3 linked regions of the Oryctolagus cuniculus genome follow. The protein of the gene in region 1 interacts with the protein of each later gene in a biochemical or structural test. Links are inferred from orthologs where the notes say so. Each region holds a gene or a part of one and is shown in the gene's direction. Other genes may lie near its edges.

The links.
Region 2: the proteins of BAG6 (region 1) and AMFR form a complex in vitro, tested with the Homo sapiens proteins (2 studies listed by BioGRID, with this or other methods). The link is inferred for Oryctolagus cuniculus from reciprocal best matches to the Homo sapiens genes BAG6 and AMFR.
Region 3: the proteins of BAG6 (region 1) and SGTA form a complex in vitro, tested with the Homo sapiens proteins (4 studies listed by BioGRID, with this or other methods). The link is inferred for Oryctolagus cuniculus from reciprocal best matches to the Homo sapiens genes BAG6 and SGTA.

What each region holds. Positions count from the first base shown.
Region 1 is NC_091436.1:138,969,500-138,974,996, forward strand, and holds the end of BAG6 (large proline-rich protein BAG6), read left to right. Parts: intron 1-299; coding exon 300-377; intron 378-487; coding exon 488-595; intron 596-717; coding exon 718-830; intron 831-938; coding exon 939-1,026; intron 1,027-1,219; coding exon 1,220-1,503; intron 1,504-1,908; coding exon 1,909-2,200; intron 2,201-2,365; coding exon 2,366-2,535; intron 2,536-2,727; coding exon 2,728-2,781; intron 2,782-2,906; coding exon 2,907-3,009; intron 3,010-3,115; coding exon 3,116-3,240; intron 3,241-3,398; coding exon 3,399-3,545; intron 3,546-3,633; coding exon 3,634-3,693; intron 3,694-3,799; coding exon 3,800-3,943; intron 3,944-4,024; coding exon 4,025-4,132; intron 4,133-4,625; coding exon 4,626-4,772; intron 4,773-5,058; coding exon 5,059-5,154; 3' UTR 5,155-5,244; downstream 5,245-5,497. UniProt on the Homo sapiens protein: ATP-independent molecular chaperone preventing the aggregation of misfolded and hydrophobic patches-containing proteins.
Region 2 is NC_091449.1:40,135,692-40,141,067, reverse strand, and holds the end of AMFR (E3 ubiquitin-protein ligase AMFR), read left to right. Parts: intron 1-1,241; coding exon 1,242-1,426; intron 1,427-2,142; coding exon 2,143-2,290; 3' UTR 2,291-3,658; downstream 3,659-5,376. UniProt on the Homo sapiens protein: E3 ubiquitin-protein ligase that mediates the polyubiquitination of lysine and cysteine residues on target proteins, such as CD3D, CYP3A4, CFTR, INSIG1, SOAT2/ACAT2 and APOB for proteasomal degradation.
Region 3 is NC_091447.1:59,198,628-59,204,124, reverse strand, and holds part of SGTA (small glutamine-rich tetratricopeptide repeat-containing protein alpha), read left to right. Parts: intron 1-79; coding exon 80-186; intron 187-921; coding exon 922-1,009; intron 1,010-1,375; coding exon 1,376-1,475; intron 1,476-2,883; coding exon 2,884-2,988; intron 2,989-3,264; coding exon 3,265-3,403; intron 3,404-3,863; coding exon 3,864-3,926; intron 3,927-4,338; coding exon 4,339-4,376; intron 4,377-5,266; coding exon 5,267-5,356; intron 5,357-5,497. UniProt on the Homo sapiens protein: Co-chaperone that binds misfolded and hydrophobic patches-containing client proteins in the cytosol. Mediates their targeting to the endoplasmic reticulum but also regulates their sorting to the proteasome when targeting fails.

The sequences.
Region 1 (5,497 bases):
CTTGGCGCTGAGGTATGAGGTGCGAGGCTGGGGAAGGGAGAGGCTGCTGCTGGCAGCGCTGGCAGAGGAGCCAGAGCAGCAGCTTTAAGCGTCGTGTGTGGGGCGGGGCAGGATGGGTGCTGTGTCCTTGGTGATTTGTTGGTGTGGTGAAGGGAGCACCTGCTCCCTGTCTTGATGGAGAGAAAGGCAGGTGTTCCGGCTGGGGAAGTGGGAGCCTGCAGGACAGCTGATCTCAGGAGGATGCCGTTAGGGCTTGGCCCCGCCTGTCTCAGGGCCACTCTCTCTGTCTCCCTGCCCAGATTCTGGCACACAGACCGGTGGTGTTCCGAGTGCTCCCACTGGCCCCCTAGGACCCCCTGGTCATGGCCAGACCCTGGGTAAGAGTGAGGGCATCAGAGCAGGTTGAGCTCTGGGTAGAGAAGGGGTAGGGCTGAATGGGTGGGTTAAAGGGGTCCAGGTTCAAGGTTACATCAGACCCGCCCCCCAGGCTCCACCCTCATCCAGCTGCCCTCCCTGCCCCCTGAGTTCATGCACGCCGTCGCCCACCAGATCACTCATCAGGCCATGGTGGCAGCTGTTGCCTCCGCGGCAGCAGGTAATGACCTGGAAGGGGAGGCCTGGGAGGTGGGGCATAGTCCATGGTGGCGGGTGCTGTCAGCTAGTGGCCAAGGGCCCAGCCCTCAGCTCTCTCCGGTCTCTCTCTTCTGCCCCCCACAGGACAGCAGGTCCCAGGCTTCCCAACAGCTCCAACCCGGGTGGTGATTGCCCGGCCAACTCCTCCACAGGCTCGGCCTTCCCATCCTGGGGGGCCTCCAGTCTCCGGGGCTCTGGTGAGCAAGGGTAGGGGAGTTGTTCCAGTGGGGAAAAGTTAGGGGAAAGAACCCCAAACTGGTATGTGGGAAAGGTAGGGATAAAAATCTCCCCACTTCTCTCCCCAGCAGGGTGCTGGACTGGGTACCAACGCCTCATTGGCCCAGATGGTGAGCGGCCTTGTGGGGCAGCTTCTCATGCAGCCTGTGCTTGTGGGTGAGTCCTCGCTCTTCCACACCCCACACTTCAGAGATCGCCATGATTCCAAAGCCCGACACTGTCCGTGTGAACTGCTGTTTTCCATTTCTTCTCATGTTCTCTTGGTTCTCACTGTCCTGTTAACACCTAATGAGGGTGCTGTGATGTCTGAATTTTCTTCAGATTTCGTTTTGCCTTTGATTCCTTACAGCTCAGGGGACCCCAGGAATGGCTCCACCTCCAGCTCCTGCCACTGCTTCAGCCAGTGCTGGCACCACCAACACAGCTACCACAGCTGGCCCTGCCCCCGGGGGGCCTGCCCAGCCTCCACCCCCTCAGCCTCCTGCAGCTGATCTGCAGTTCTCTCAGCTTCTGGGGAATTTGCTGGGGCCTGCAGGGCCAGGATCTGGAGGGCCTGGCGTGGCTTCTCCCACCATCACCGTGGCAATGCCCGGCGTCCCTGCCTTTCTCCAGGGCATGAGTGACTTCTTGCAGGTGAGTGGCTGGCTTGCCTTTCTCCTCACCCGTCCCGTGCCCCAGCCTAGCCAGGCAGTGGGGCTGTGTTGCCATTAGGTAGCTGTTGGGCCATTGCCTGCAATTTTGTGGCCAGAGAAGGGAGCCGGGACTTTATTGACTGAACTGCTCCCATTTTGGAGATGAGGGAAATAAGGCTTTAGAGAAGAGAGAGAGACGCTGTAGTGGCTAGTGTCCTGCTCTCTGGTCTAAACCATACAGTGAGAGAGGAGTTGCTTAGGCCAGCTCTGCTGTGGACTCCCTTGCCACGAGTGTTCTTTCCTAAGGAGTAAGGTTTAGAATACGGCCCCCTGTCTCCCCAGACCGTGTCGGTGTCTGTCCTTACTCTCAGGTCTCACTTCATCATCTTTATTCTCTCTTTCCCAGGCAACACAGGCGGCCCCTCCACCCCCTCCACCACCTCCACCCCCACCCCCTGCCCCAGAGCAGCAGAGCACGGCCCCACCAGGGTCCCCTTCTGGTGGCACAGGGAGTCCTGGAGGCCTGAGTCCTGAGAGCCTTTCCCCGGAGTTCTTCACCTCCGTGGTACAAGGCGTGCTGAGCTCTCTGCTCGGCTCTTTGGGAGCTCGCGCTGGCAGCAGTGAAAGTATTGCCGCCTTCATCCAGCGCCTCAGTGGCTCCAGCAACATCTTTGAGCCTGGGGCTGATGGAGCCCTCGGTGAGCAACGACGGGAGCCTTGGTCTTCTCTAGGAGGGGATAGCCAGGGAAGGGACAGCCGGGGGTAGGTAGATGGCTTTTGTTTAGGGAGGTTGCCAAGATGGGATGAGGCCGATGGGCTGGCTGGGGGTAAAGGCCTTTGCTAACTTTCGCCCCTGTCCGCAGGATTCTTTGGGGCTCTCCTCTCTCTTCTGTGCCAGAATTTCTCCATGGTGGACGTGGTAATGCTTCTCCATGGGCATTTCCAGCCACTGCAGCGGCTCCAGCCCCAGCTGCGATCCTTCTTCCACCAGCACTACCTGGGTGGCCAGGAGCCCACACCTGGTAACATCCGGGTAAATGAAGGCCCGGAGCCTTAGAAGCCTCCCACTTCCCCCTTCAGTACCTTGTTTCTGACCCTGTTCATGTATCAGCTTACGCCGTTGACTGCGCCAGCCCTAGACATGGACCTGTGGAGGGGGGAGGGGTAGAGAAGGAAGTCTCCTGAGACTGAGGCTTGGGCCTGACCTCTGCTGTTCTCCCCGTAGATGGCGACACACACATTGATCACAGGGCTAGAGGAATACGTGCGGGAGAGTTTTGTGAGTGACCCTTCTGTATTGCCTTCCTCTCCTTGGGTCTGGTCCAGACAGCTGATGTCCGTAGTGCCTTCTCCACTTCCGATCTTTCAGGGTTCCTGATCTGGGGTCTTTGTCTTGTCCCGCAGTCTTTGGTGCAGGTTCAGCCTGGTGTGGACATCATCCGGACAAACCTGGAATTTCTTCAAGAGCAATTTAATAGCATTGCTGCTCATGTGCTGCACTGCACAGGTCAGGGCCTGGCCAGGCAGGGGCTGGCTAGGTGTGGGTGCATGGTATGTAGCGGGTGTGCAGAGCTGCCAGGTGCCAGCATTCTCTCCTTATATCTTGCCTGCAGACAGTGGATTTGGGGCCCGGCTGCTGGAGTTGTGTAACCAAGGCCTGTTTGAGTGCCTGGCCCTGAACCTGCACTGCTTGGGGGGACAGCAGATGGAGCTGGCTGCTGTCATCAATGGCCGAATTGTAAGCACCATCCCACCCCAGCTCCCCAGCCATTTGTTTCTTGAGGTCTCCTTGCTCCTCATTTTTCTTCTCCCAAGTACTATCCTGTACCCTAGATCTGATGTATTTTAAAAGCCGGCTGAGGGTTTTGTCTTCCCAGTCTGTTTTCTGCCCCTCAGCGCCGCATGTCACGTGGAGTGAATCCGTCACTGGTGAGCTGGCTGACGACCATGATGGGCCTGCGGCTTCAGGTGGTGCTGGAGCACATGCCCGTGGGCCCCGATGCCATCCTCAGATACGTCCGCAGGGTTGGTGATCCCCCTCAGGTAAGGGACACGGCGGGCTCTGGGACCAGGGCGCCTGAGGGGGCCGGCGGGGTCTAAGAGGGCCTGTCGGTGTTCTCCAACCTCACAGCCACTGCCTGAGGAGCCCATGGAAGTTCAAGGAGCAGAAAGAACGTCCCCAGAGCCTCAGGTAACAGGGAGGGGTGGAGAGGCCAGATGATGGGAACTGGGGGGCTGAGAGGGCAGGGCTGGGTCTCAGTTCTGAAACCTGCCTCCTCCCACCGTCTGACTGCCAGCGGGAGAATGCCTCCCCTGCTCCTGGAACTACAGCAGAAGAGGCCATGTCCCGAGGTCCGCCCCCTGCCCCTGAGGGGGGCTCCCAGGATGAACAGGATGGAGCCTCAGCCGAGACAGAACCCTGGGCCGCTGCTGTGCCCCCAGTAAGTGCTGAGAGGTGATCCAGGGAGCTGAGGCCACTGGGAGTTGTGGGAGTTACTACTTTTGGATGTTTCCTTTCCCAGGAATGGGTTCCTATCATCCAGCAGGACATTCAGAGCCAGCGGAAGGTGAAGCCGCAGCCCCCCCTGAGCGACGCCTACCTCAGTGGTATGCCTGCCAAGAGACGCAAGGTCGGTTTACCTCTTCCCTGAGGATCTTTGTCCAAGTTCCCCTCTCATGTTTAAAATCAAACTAGAGTTGGAAGGGGCTCTTCTAGTTCGGGAAACCTTTGGGACTCATTTTCTTGCTCATAGTTGTTGCATAAAACCACACAGGACTTGGCCTTAGTTTGCTGGTAGTCTTGTCTTGGTCTCTAATTGTACTGTGTGACTAGTGCCCACTTTTCTTTAAGATGGCTTCCTTTTGCGGCCTAACTAGTTCTAAACTCCAGATGGCTTGACCCATTCTGCCCCTTTTGTTTTGAAGAGCAAGTTCAGCACATTCAAACCCTTTAACCAGAGCCCAACATAATTGGGCATTTGTGTTGTCCAGACCGCATGTGTGCTGCTTCCCTTCTCTCTGCTAGTGTGCAGACTCAGTGGTTGACTCCTGGAAGGGTGTGCTGGGTGGCGGCACTGGATCTGACGGTGATCCTCTTTTCCCTCCCAACTCCCTGTCCACCAGACGATGCAGGGTGAGGGCCCCCAGCTGCTTCTCTCAGAAGCTGTGAGCCGGGCAGCTAAGGCAGCCGGAGCTCGGCCCCTGACGAGCCCCGAGAGCCTGAGCCGGGACCTGGAGGCACCAGAGGTTCAGGAGAGCTACAGGCAGCAGGTGCCCCCACCTCGAAGCAGAATAGGGATGGTCCCGTGGGAGGGGTTGGGATAGGGCCCCTCTCCCCCTGGCCCCCTTTAGACAACTGGTCAAAAGCATTCCCCCCACCCGACCCGTGGCATCTGAGAACGCTCAGCAATGCCACATTGGACAGTGTATGTGTTGGGATGGGGGTGGGGGGCTGCTGGGGGGGAAGCGTTCACTCCTGAGGGATGGCCTCCTCTGCTTGTTGGGATCAGAGGAGCCTTGACAAGTGCTTCTCCAACCTACTTGTTTCTCTCTCTAGCTCCGGTCTGACATACAAAAACGGCTTCAGGAAGACCCCAACTACAGCCCCCAGCGCTTCCCTAATGCCCATCGGGCCTTTGCCGATGATCCCTAGCTCTTTGCTCTGTGGCCCTTCCTTACCAGGGGACCATCTCCCCCCTCTTCCTTCACAGTATTTAAGAAATAAAAGTCGGATTTTCCTGGCTCTCTTGTCTTTAAATTGTCTTCATTAAGCACTTTTTGAGTCCCTCAATTGAATATTCTCATTTCCCTGGGTAGGCATTTGACAGAGGCTAACTCCACTTGGACTGCCTGCATCCCGCATTGGAGTGCCTGGTTTGAGTCCTGGCGCCCCACTCCTGATCCAGCTTCCTTCCCGTTAAAAGCACGCCCTGGTAGGCAGTAGATGGTTCCATTGGCCACCCACACAGGGTACTTGCATGGAGTTCTGGGCTCCT
Region 2 (5,376 bases), on another chromosome or scaffold:
AAGCCAGAGTGGGTAGTAAGCTGACCTGCCCCTGGGGGTGTGAGCGGCACAGCTGATTGGGCACCTGCTTAAGGGTGTGGAGCATCTAGGTGGTGTTGTCTCCCTCAGGGCTTTAGCCAAAACCAATAAAGCATCCTATTTTAAAGTCTTATTATGCAAGGAAACATGTGTTCTGTTTTTTAAAAAGATCCTTAGTATTTACCCTTTTTACCTGTTTTCAGAGACCAGTTGTGCAGTAGGGGCTGGCGTCATGGCAGAGTGGGTGAAGCTACCACATGCAGTGCCGGCGTCCCACGTGGGCACTTGTTCATGTCCCAGCTGCTCCGCTCCCAGTCCAGCTTCTTGCTTAACGGCCTAAGGAAAGAAGATGGCCCATGTGCTTGGGCCCCTGCCACCCACATAGGAGACCCAAATGGAGTTCTTGGCTCTTGGGTTTGACCTGGCCCAGCTGCAGCCATTGTGGCAGTCTGGGGAAAGAATCGGCAGTTGCTAGGTCTCACTGTCTCTCCCCTCTCTCTCTGTATCTCTAACTTTTAAATAAATAAGTCTAAAAACAAGCAAACAAACCAACAGCTTGTTTACATTTTTGAGCCAGCGCAGGCATTTGGCACAGCAGTTAATACACCTCTTGGGGGGCCGGCGTTGTAGCACTGTGGGATACCTGCATCCCATGTCAGAGTACCTGGGTTTGAGTCCTGGCTCCACTTTAATTCCAGCTTCCTGCACCCTGGTGGGCAGCAGGTGACAGCTCAGGTACTTGGGCCCCTGGCACCCAAGGGGGAGACCGGATTGAGTTCTGGGTTCCTGGCATTAGCCTGGCCAAGGCCCAGCTGTTGCAAATATTTGGGGAGTGAACCAGTAGATGGAGAATTTGTCTCTTTTCGTCTCTCTGCCTTTCAAATAAGTAAAAATAGAGAAAATTTTTAATGTGCTAATGTCCAGCCATATAAAAAATTTTTTTAGCATTTAGTAGAATTGAAAGAAAATTCCCAGAATGCAAAGCCGCAGTTAGTTTGGTTTTACCAAGAATACGTTCAGTTTGGAGATGCTGATGTGTTTCAGACTGGTCCTGAGTTACTTCCTGCACTAACACGGAAGGTCTCACGGGGTCGGGCTCTGCTAGGAGTGATCCCTGGGGCACGTACGGCAACCTGTCCCCCAGGAGCGCCGTGTGCTCAGGGTGTTCTGCCAGGTAGAGGGGGCCTGTGCCCACAGCTGCTTCTGGTTTCTCCCGTGTCCAGGCGGAACGCATGCCACTGGACCTCAGTCCCCGCCTGGAGGAGCCCGTGGACTTCAGCGAGTTGGAAGCAGAGCCCGGCGAGGTGGAGGACTTTGAGGCGCGGGGCAGCCGCTTCTCCAAGTCTGCTGACGAGAGACAGCGCATGCTGCTACAGCGCAAGGACGACCTCCTGCAGCAGGCTCGGAAGTGAGTGGCTTCCCCAGCCCCGGTGGGCATACATCCAGGTCTGAGACCTGTGGCGGGGTCATCAGCGTGTTAGGCCCACTTCCACTTTAACTAAAGATGCGACATCAGGCAACCGTTACATGGCGCTTAAAAACTCAGGCTTCAAGCCTCCCTCGGGAGGAGTCCGGCCCCGCTGAGCCCGACTGGTAACTTGTGGTGGGCTTCGGTGCCCCTGTGGGCATCTTCAGACGCACTCGCACGGACAGCGCTTGCGTGCCAGCGGGTCCTTTCATGAATAACTCTTCAAACGACTCTAAGGGGGAGCATTGTTAGAATCATTTGACAGACTTACAGCTGAAGAAGCTGAGGCTTAGAGAGGTTCACGCTGGCCTGGGCCTGACGGCTGGCTCCGGGGTCCTCCCTCTTGACCACTCTGCCTTGTAGCTAACATAGAGGTGAGCACAGAGCGCACATCTGGGGCCACACCTGCCCTGTGGCTGCGGCTGGAGCCGTGGGTGTCGAGGTTTATGTCAGTGGCTGGGTTTTGTGGCCTGAGCGTGGGGACTTGGGTGGGGTGGGCAGGGAGAGGGGAGAGGGGCGCGGAGCGGTCACTTGTCCCGCCCGCCCCAGTGCAGGGAACTCAGGCTCCACTCAGGGTCAGGGTCCGCGTCTTTTTCATGAAGTTGCCCGGGAGACGGGGAGCTGCGCGTGCTCCAGAGCGTCTCATCCCTCCGCAGGCGTTTCTTGAACAAAAGCTCCGAAGAGGACGCGGCCGCCGAGAGCTTGCTCCCGCCCGCGGGCCCGTCCCCCGACCCCGTGGCGCTGCGGCGGCGGATGCTGGCGGCCGCCGCCGAGCGCAGACTGCAGAAGCAGCAGACGTCCTAGCGCCGCCGCCCCTCCTCGGCCGCCGCCGCCGCCTGAGCCCCGCGCCCTGCGCCCAGCCGGAAGAGGCTGCCCAGTGCTGCTGCCGTGTGACGCCGCGGGCCCGACTCGTTGCCGCTGTACAGAGCATGTGGTCTTCTAGTGTGTGGACGGCTGACAGATTTAATTCTTCTCTGTAATACTTTCTATGTGATATTCTCTTCCCCTTAAAAGCACTGCACATTTTCACTGTAGGCGTTGACTTGTTGGGGTGGGGAGCGATCAGGAGGAAGTGGGCAGGCGCCCGCCAGCGGCAGATACTGCGTCCTTAGCGCCACATCTGGCAGGAGGCTGTGTGCTCTGGGAGGGCGCATCGCCAGCAGCGAGCAGAGGCACCGCCGAGCCTGGCTCCGCACCGCCGCCACCGCCGCCACCTGCTGTCACACCTGAGGAGGCAGAGGAGGTGTCAGAGGCCAGACTAGGGGGCTCCCGGACCCTCGGGGCCAGCAGGGCATCTTGGGAAAGGCCGTGGTCTGCTGCCCGGAGCAGAGGAGGGGCAAGCTTGGGGCTGCAGAGTGTGAGAAGGCGACGCCCTTCCCTCCCGCCACATCGGGACTGTGTGAGCCCCAGGTCACGGCTGGCTTTATTTCCGTTAACTCTGGTGCTCCTGCAGGTCCTGAGTGTACCCGTGTCCCCCGTCCCCTCCGCGTTCCCTGGCCCTGTGGACACGGGGAAGGGGGTGGCAGCCAGCTTTGGTTTATGGTTTTAACCCCTCGGTCAGGCCCATCGGGCAGTGCCAAAGCCTGTGGGTTTGGTCTTCGGAAAAGAGGTGGGCCGAGCCAGGTGGGGGAGTGGGGAGTGCACTGGGCAGGGCTTTAGGGAAGAACTGAGAGATAGATACCTTGTGTGTATCCCCGGCCGTGGCTGTCCGCCAGACCTAGGAAGCTAACAGGTTGAATCCACATGCCTTGGAGCAGACCCAGGTCCTGAGTCTTCAAATTCCTCACGCAGTTAACTTTTGGGATTTGAAACACGCAATCATAGGTTACATAGTTCAGTTTTATGTCCCATTGGATTAATTTTTTTTAATGTTTGAAACATAGTTTTATGGTAGTCCTTTTGGGAAGAATCCCAGTATTATCTAAAATTATTGGCAAAGTTAAATGTATTTTACATAACTGGAAGTTTTTAGAATGTTGACAAGTAATTGAAAAAAGGGTGGTAGACAAATATTTAGGCAGAAGTAATTTATTTCAATAAATCTTTGAAAAGCCTTACTTTGAAATGCTGTTAGTAAACCTCTGTGATTTTTAAAATTTGTTTTGTTTTGCTGAGAGCATAGCTATTTGTTTTCATTGTAAAACAATAATAATAATAAAAAGCAAACTTTTAGTGTGTTGTGTATCGCTGGGAGTTGAGGCAGCTGCTTTCAGGGGGGTGGACATTAACTCTGATTTTGTGGGGACCATTTTGGCTGGGGGGGTTTTGCTTTCTCCAGTATGTTGGAGAAGGCAGACAGGATTTTTCTTCTCCTCATACTAGTATTTCATTTAAAAAAAATTTATTTATTTGAGAGGCAGAGTTACAGGGAGAGACAGGTCTTCCATCTGCTGGTTTACTCCCCAAATGGCCACGGGCTGGGCTAGGTCAAAGCTGGAGCCAGCACTAGGCTAATCCTCTGCCTTGTGGCACCGGCACACCAGGTTCTAGTCCCGGTCGGGGTGCCGGATTCTGTCCCGGTTGCCCCTCTTCCAGGCCAGCTCTCTGCTGTGGCCAGGGAGTGCAGTGGAGGATGGCCCAAGTGCTTGGGCCCTGCACCCCATGGGAGACCAGGAGAAGCACCTGGCTCCTGCCTTTGGATCAGCGCGGTGCGCCGGCCGCGGTGGCCATTGGAGGGTGAACCAACAGCAAAGGAAGACCTTTCTCTCTGTCTGTCTCTCTCACTGTCCACTCTGCCTGTCAAAAAAAAAAAAAAAAAAAAGGCTGGAGCCAGGAGCTTCCTCCGGGTCTCCCACACGAGTGTGGGGGCTGAAACATTTGGGCCATCTTCCACTGCTTTCCCAGGCCATAGCAGAGAGCTGAATCAGAAGTGGAGCAGCTGGGACTCGAACCAGTGCCCATGTGGGATGCCGGCACTGCAGGAGTAGGCTTTGCCCACCACACCACAGCGCCGGCCCCACATTTATTTATTTATTTTCAAGGTAAGTATGGAGGAGGCGGCTACTTTGCTTTCTCCGAGTCTGTTTTACTTTGCAGGTTGCATACCCATTAGAGATGACACTAACTCCAGTTTCTCAGGTTTATGAAGTGGAAAGAGGAAATTGATAGAGGGCCTGGGATCACTGGACTATCACAGCGTGGCAGTGACCAGAGCAGGGAGAATGCTTTACTTAGCCTACAGTGACCGACAAGCCCCAAGTTCACCCCTAAATTGTGCATCTAGACAGTTAAAGATTCTAGCTGCTACCACCGGCCCCTGGCTTTTGTCATTTGGAGGCCCCTGGGATAGGTGCTGAGGGCAGAGAGTGGGTGGGCTTCCCGGCCCAGTCCCCCTTGGCCATCTCCGCTGCTGCAAGGGTGGGCAGCTTGCTTTTGTGCCCGATGTTGCCATGGAACACAGGCTGTACCGCTGGGCCGTGGCACGTGGGCTTTCTGTGCCCTTGCCCTGCCTGGCCGTGGGAGCGGCTGTTACTCCCTCTGACCTCTTGGGTTCTCAGCCACTTGCTTGAGTTTTGTGTTTTTAACAAATGTGGAGGCTTTTATGGGTCAGGGAGAATGATGGCCCACGTGGATGGCTTACTTGGTGTGTTCAGGCAGGCTCTTGGAGCTGTAGACTGCTCTCACTGCAGCCCGCAGACCATCTGCCCGGGAAAGGACGCGGGGTGTGCATGCAGAAGGGAGTCGGAAGCTTGCGGAGCTGGCCAAGAACGCCGCCCCTACAAGGCTGCGTCACTGCAGTCTCTGGGATACTCGGCTCCTGCTCTCAGCCTAGAAGTGAGTGGTTCTGGCCCCGGCTGCACTGTGGAGTGGAGTCCCGGGCGCTCTGTCCCCTCTCCGTGATCTAGTTTAGTTGGTCTTTTCCCTTCATCCGTTAAAAATGCTGACCTCCT
Region 3 (5,497 bases), on another chromosome or scaffold:
TTGTGAAAAAAAGCCAAAGCCGCGGCAGCAAAGCAGGCCCCGCCCAGGCATGCGGTCAGCGAGGCCTCTGTCCCCACAGTCGCCATCCAGTGCCTGGAGACGGCTTTCGGGGTCACGGTGGACGACAGCGACCTGGCGCTGCCCCAGACCCTGCCGGAAATCTTTGAAGCGGCCGCCACCGGCAAGGTGAGCCCGGGGCCACCCGGCCCCCATTCCCCAGCCTCAGAACAGCGGCAGGGGGCGCGGTGGGCTCTCCCTGGGCAGGAGAGGGGCGGGGGAGGGTGTGCGCCCTGACCTGGTCCGGGCAGCAGGGGGCGCCGTGGGCTCTCCCTGGGCGGGGAGGGTGTGCGCCCTGACCTCAGCCGGGCAGCAGGGGGCGCTGTGGCTCTCCCTGGGCGGGGAGGGTGTGCGCCCTGACCTGGTCCGGGCAGCAGGGGGCGCCGTGGGCTCTCCCTGGGCGGGGAGGGTGTGCGCCCTGACCTCAGCCGGGCAGCAGGGGGCGCCGTGGCTCTCCCTGGGCGGGGAGGGTGTGCGCCCTGACCTCTGCCGGGCAGCAGGGGGCGCCGTGGGCTCTCCCTGGGCGGGGAGGGTGTGCGCCCTGACCTCTGCCGGGCAGCAGGGGGCGCCGTGGGCTCTCCCTGGGCGGGGAGGGTGTGCGCCCTGACCTCTGCCGGGCAGCAGGGGGCGCCGTGGGCTCTCCCTGGGCGGGGAGGGTGTGCGCCCTGACCTCTGCCGGGCAGCAGGGGGCGCCGTGGGCTCTCCCTGGGCGGGGAGAGTGTGCGCCCTGACCTCGGCCGGGCAGCAGGGGGCGCTGTGGCTCTCCCTGGGCGGGGAGGGTGTGCACCCTGACCTCGGCCGGGCAGCAGGGGCGCGGTGGGCTCCCCTGGCCGGGGAGGGTCTGAGCCCTGACCTTGGCCGCAGCAGGAGACGCAGCCCGAGCCGAGGAGCCCCGAGCGGACCCCGCCCTCGGAGGAGGACTACGCGGAGGCAGAGCGCCTCAAAACCGAAGGTGGGCGGGGACGAGGGGAGGGGGCGGGGTTAGCCCAGGTGTGGAGACGCGGAGCCCCCGGCTGCCCGGATCCCCGGGCCCACCGCAGTGCTGCCCCGTGCCAAGGTCACCGCAGCTGTGGCAGCCTTGGCGGGGCAGCGGCCCCAGCGTCTGTCCGCACGTGGGGGAGCGTGGTCGCCGCGCAGCCAGGAGCGAGCGAGGCTCCGACGCTCCCTGCGTGCAGGGCCCCGCGGACGTCGCGCCGGGGGCAGTGGGCAGGGCCTGGGGGGAGCTGAGCGTCCGGAGGCGCTGTGCCCCGGGCGGGTGGGCGCCCCCAGGGCCGCGAGCTGTGCCGCGGGGCAGCGGGCCTGTCTCCCTCGTCCCCAGGGAACGAGCAGATGAAGGGGGAGAACTACGAAGCCGCCGTGCACTTCTACGGCAAAGCCATCGAGCTGAACCCGGCCAACGCCGTCTACTTCTGCAACAGGTGCGCGCGGGGGGCGTCGGGGCCGCTAGGGGTCGGTGGTCCAGCTGCGCACAGGACGCCGAGCCGGGGAGGGGTCAGAGCGCGGAGGGGTCAGAGTGGGGAGGGGTCAGAGCGGGGAGGAGTCAGAGCGGGGAGGGGTCAGAGCGGGGAGGGGGTCGGGGGGGAGGGGTCAGAACGGGGAGGGGTCAGAGTGGGGAGGGTGTCAGAGCGGGGAGGGGGTCGGGGGGGAGGGGTCAGAACGGGGAGGGGGTCGGGGGGAGGGGTCAGGCCGGGCAGGTGCTCCAGAGCCGGGCAGCGTCCCGTGTGCACCGAGCCCCCCCTCGGCCTGGGCGGGGTCACGTGCACCCCACGGACCGACCCGGTGCCTGGAAAGCTCCCGACTGAAGCGTTTGGGTCACGCGTGTGACACTGCGAGTGTCCGGCCCAGCGGTTCAGACGGAGGGCCTGGCCCGGCTCCCTGCTCCGGAGGGCCCAGTGCTCGGGTCCCTGCTGCCCACGGGAGCCCCGGGAGCGCCCCCCACCCCGCTGCAGCTCGGCCGTGTTCTCTGGTCTCGGGGCGTGTCCGCGCTCTCGCCGGGGCAGCCGGGCCGGCTGTGCCCCCGCACTCTGAGCGTTTGTGTGGTTCGGGGCTCCTTGGAGAGGCCCCGCACCCACGGTCGCCATGGGTGGGGGCCCCCTCGTGACCCTCGTCTCTGGCTGGGCCCGTCCCACGCATCGAGCCACCTCTGTGACGTGGGCGGGTTCCACACGGCCCAGCCTCGGTTCTGGCGTCCCCGGTTCTGGGCGGCGTCCCCGAGAGGGTCAGGGCCAGCTCCGCTTCTCTCTGCAAGTTTATTTCATGTATCTGAAAGGCAGAGTCACAGGGAGGTGGCCGCAGCGGCCAGGGCTGGGCCAGGCTGAAGCCAGGAGTCCATCCGGGTCTCCCACGCGGGTGCAGGGGCCACCTTCCGCTGCTTCCCCCGGCCACAGCAGAGCCGGATGGGAAGTGGAGCAGCCGGATTCGAACCAGTGCCCACGGGGGGTGCTGGTGTCACTGTGCGGGCTCCTCTGTGCTTTCTGGATGGGAGTGCGGGGGTGGGACTAGAACCCGGTCACGGACGGCAGCCAGGCCCCCCCACGGCTGTGCGCGGTGCACTCCCGCTGCAGCCCCCTCGGCGGGGTGAGCGCACGGGGTCCCCGGGACCACACGGGGCGTGGCAAGCTGGGGCTGCCGCCTAACGGACCCCGCACGGTCGTGACAGCTGGGAGGTGGCTGAGCAGGGTCCTGCTGCTGGCCTCCCCGGCCCTCGAGCGTCTGCCCGCTGGACTTGTGGCTCCATGGCCGGCCCCTGGGACAGCCTCGCCACGGCCCGCTTTCCAGATGGGGCGCTGAGGCTGCGCCCCGACCGCCCCTGCCTGTCCCCCCCAGAGCCGCAGCCTACAGCAAGCTGGGCAACTACGCGGGCGCCGTGCAGGACTGCGAGCGCGCCATCGGCATAGACCCGTCCTACAGCAAAGCCTACGGCCGCATGGGGTGAGTGCCCCCCGGGACCTCCCCTCGCTCCTTTCCCAAGCGAGCTGGGCAGTGCCAGGGCTCCTCACAAATGCCAGAGAACCGGCTCCTCCCAGGGAAGTCCTAGGAGCTGGGAGCCCACGCACCACGTGGTCACGGCAGGCTCCGCCCCGCGCACCTGCCGCCGGCCGCCGGAGGGGCAGCTCGGGGTTGCTGGGCGCCGGAGCTGAGGGCGTGGGGGGACAGAGGGTCCTCCTGGGCCCTCCCACACGCTCCCCTCCCGCCCCCTCGCCCCAGCCTGGCGCTGTCCAGCTTGAACAAGCACGCGGAGGCCGTGGCCTACTACAAGAAGGCCTTGGAGCTGGACCCCGACAACGAGACCTACAAGTCCAACCTCAAGATCGCGGAGCTGAAGCTGCGGGAGGCCCCGAGCCCGGCGAGTGGGGCGGGGCGGGGGTGGGGCCTGGCCGGCGGGGCGGGGCGGGGTGGGGCCCAGTGAGGGGCGGGGGCAGGGGCGGGGCCCGGCGAGTCGGGCAGCCGGGGGTGGGGGCTGCCCACACGCACGGGCTGCAGGGCCCGGCAGGCAGGTGACCCTGGAGTCCCGCATCACCAGAGGCCGGAGGCAGGGCTCGCGGCCGCTCAGGTCCGGCCCTGCAGTGACCCTGGGGCGCCGCGCTGCCGTCACCGGCAGTGCCGCCTGCCCTGGTGCTGGACAGGAGAGGGGCCGTGGGGGGTAGGCCCCGGGCTGCACACTGAAGCCTCCGTGGGGAGGAGCCGGCTGCCGGGCCGACCCCGGAGGCAGAACGTGAGACCCGGGGGCCTGCATCCCCCGCGGCCGTGGCCCTGTGCTGACCCCCGAGGGCCGCACTGACTGACCGGCGCTCTCTGGCCCGCAGAGCGGCGGCGTGGGCAGCTTCGACATCGCCGGCCTGCTGAGCAACCCCGGCTTCATCAGCATGGTAACGAGCCCCCCGGCCCGCCCGTCTCACTGGCGCTCCTCGGCACAGGCCCGCGGGGGACCCCCAGGGCCGACCCCCAGGGGCTGGAGCAGGGGCCTCGGCGTGGGAGGGACGGCCGTCCCCAGGATCCCCGGGGGCGGCGCTGCGCCCCGCACACCCACGTTCCTCCCGCTGGGCTCCCGCTGGGCCTCGCAGCTGTGGGACGTGGGGGCCAAGCAGCCACTTCGGCCTGGCCCCGAGAGCCTCGGCCTGGAGCCTGCTCTTGCGTGGGCCGTCACAGGCGGGGCTTGGGCTCAGAGGCCCCGCACTGACCTTCCGGGAGCCCCTGGGCCACCGGGGCGGGGGCAGGGTCTCCTGTCGGGGGCGGGGCGGGGGCCGGAAGTCCCGCCCTGACTCCCGGTGCTTCCTCCAGGCGTCGAACCTGATGAACAACCCCCAGCTTCAGCAGCTGTAAGTGACGGCGCCGCCCCCGTGGGCACCGCTCCCCCCCTCCAGGACATCCCTGCAGCCCAGAGAGCCCCTCCTGCCGCTGCACCTGCGCCCGCGGGTCCCACGCGTGTGGCCGGGGCCCCGTGTCTCCCGGGCTGACGTCCTCCGTCCCACGCGTGTGGCCGGGGCCCCGTGTCTCCCGGGCTGACGGCCTCGGGTCCCTCCAGGCCACAGCGAGCAGCAGAGCCTCGGCCTGCTCCCCGTGGGGGGGTCTCTCCTCTGGCCGCGTGCTGCTCCCCGTGAGGGGGGTCCCCTTCTTTGGCCGCGTGCTGCTCCCCGTGGGGGGTCTCCCTTCCTCTGGCGTGCACTGCTCCCCGTGGGGGGGTCTCCCCCGCGTGCTGCCGGACACCGTGGGCTTCCGTGCTGGGCTTCCTGTCCTGTCTGGGCCGCGGATTTGTGTTCGGGAGATTGTGTGTCCGCTGGTTCACCACCCACGTGGCCACGACGGCCAGGGCTCCATCTGGTGTCCCGCGCGGGTGCAGGGGCCCAGCACTTGGGACACAGCAGAGCTGGCCGGAAGTAGAGCAGCCGGGACGCGAACCGGCGCCACGTGGGATGCTGGTGGGGCAGGCGGCGGCTAACCCGCTACGCCAAGGTCACTGCTGTCTACGTTTGGGTCTGGACGGGACCTTCTGGGCGCTGCAGGGCATGAGCCCCGCCCCTGACGTCCCCCCAGTTCCGCGCCAGGAGCGCCCCCAGTCCTGACGGCCGCAGGCGACCGCAGACACGACCCAGGGCGCCTGGGGCAGCAGTGGCCCCCGCTGAGACTCCTGGGAAACCAGGCTCCCGAGGGGGGGGCGGGGCGCGGTGGGGGGGCGGGGCCGCGGCGAGTCACGCTCCCCCCCCCCCAGCATGTCCGGGATGATCTCCGGCGGCCACAACCCCCTGGGCACGCCCGGCACCAGCCCCTCGCAGAACGACCTGGCCAGCCTCATCCAGGCGTGAGTGCAGCGGTGGGGCAGCGAGGGGCGGGGCGGGGCGGGGCAGGGCGCGGTCCTGCGGGGCGGGGTGGGGCGTGGCCCTGCAGGGTGGGGCGGTGAGCAGGGGGCGGGGCGGTGAGCGGCGGTGAGCGGGCGGTGAGC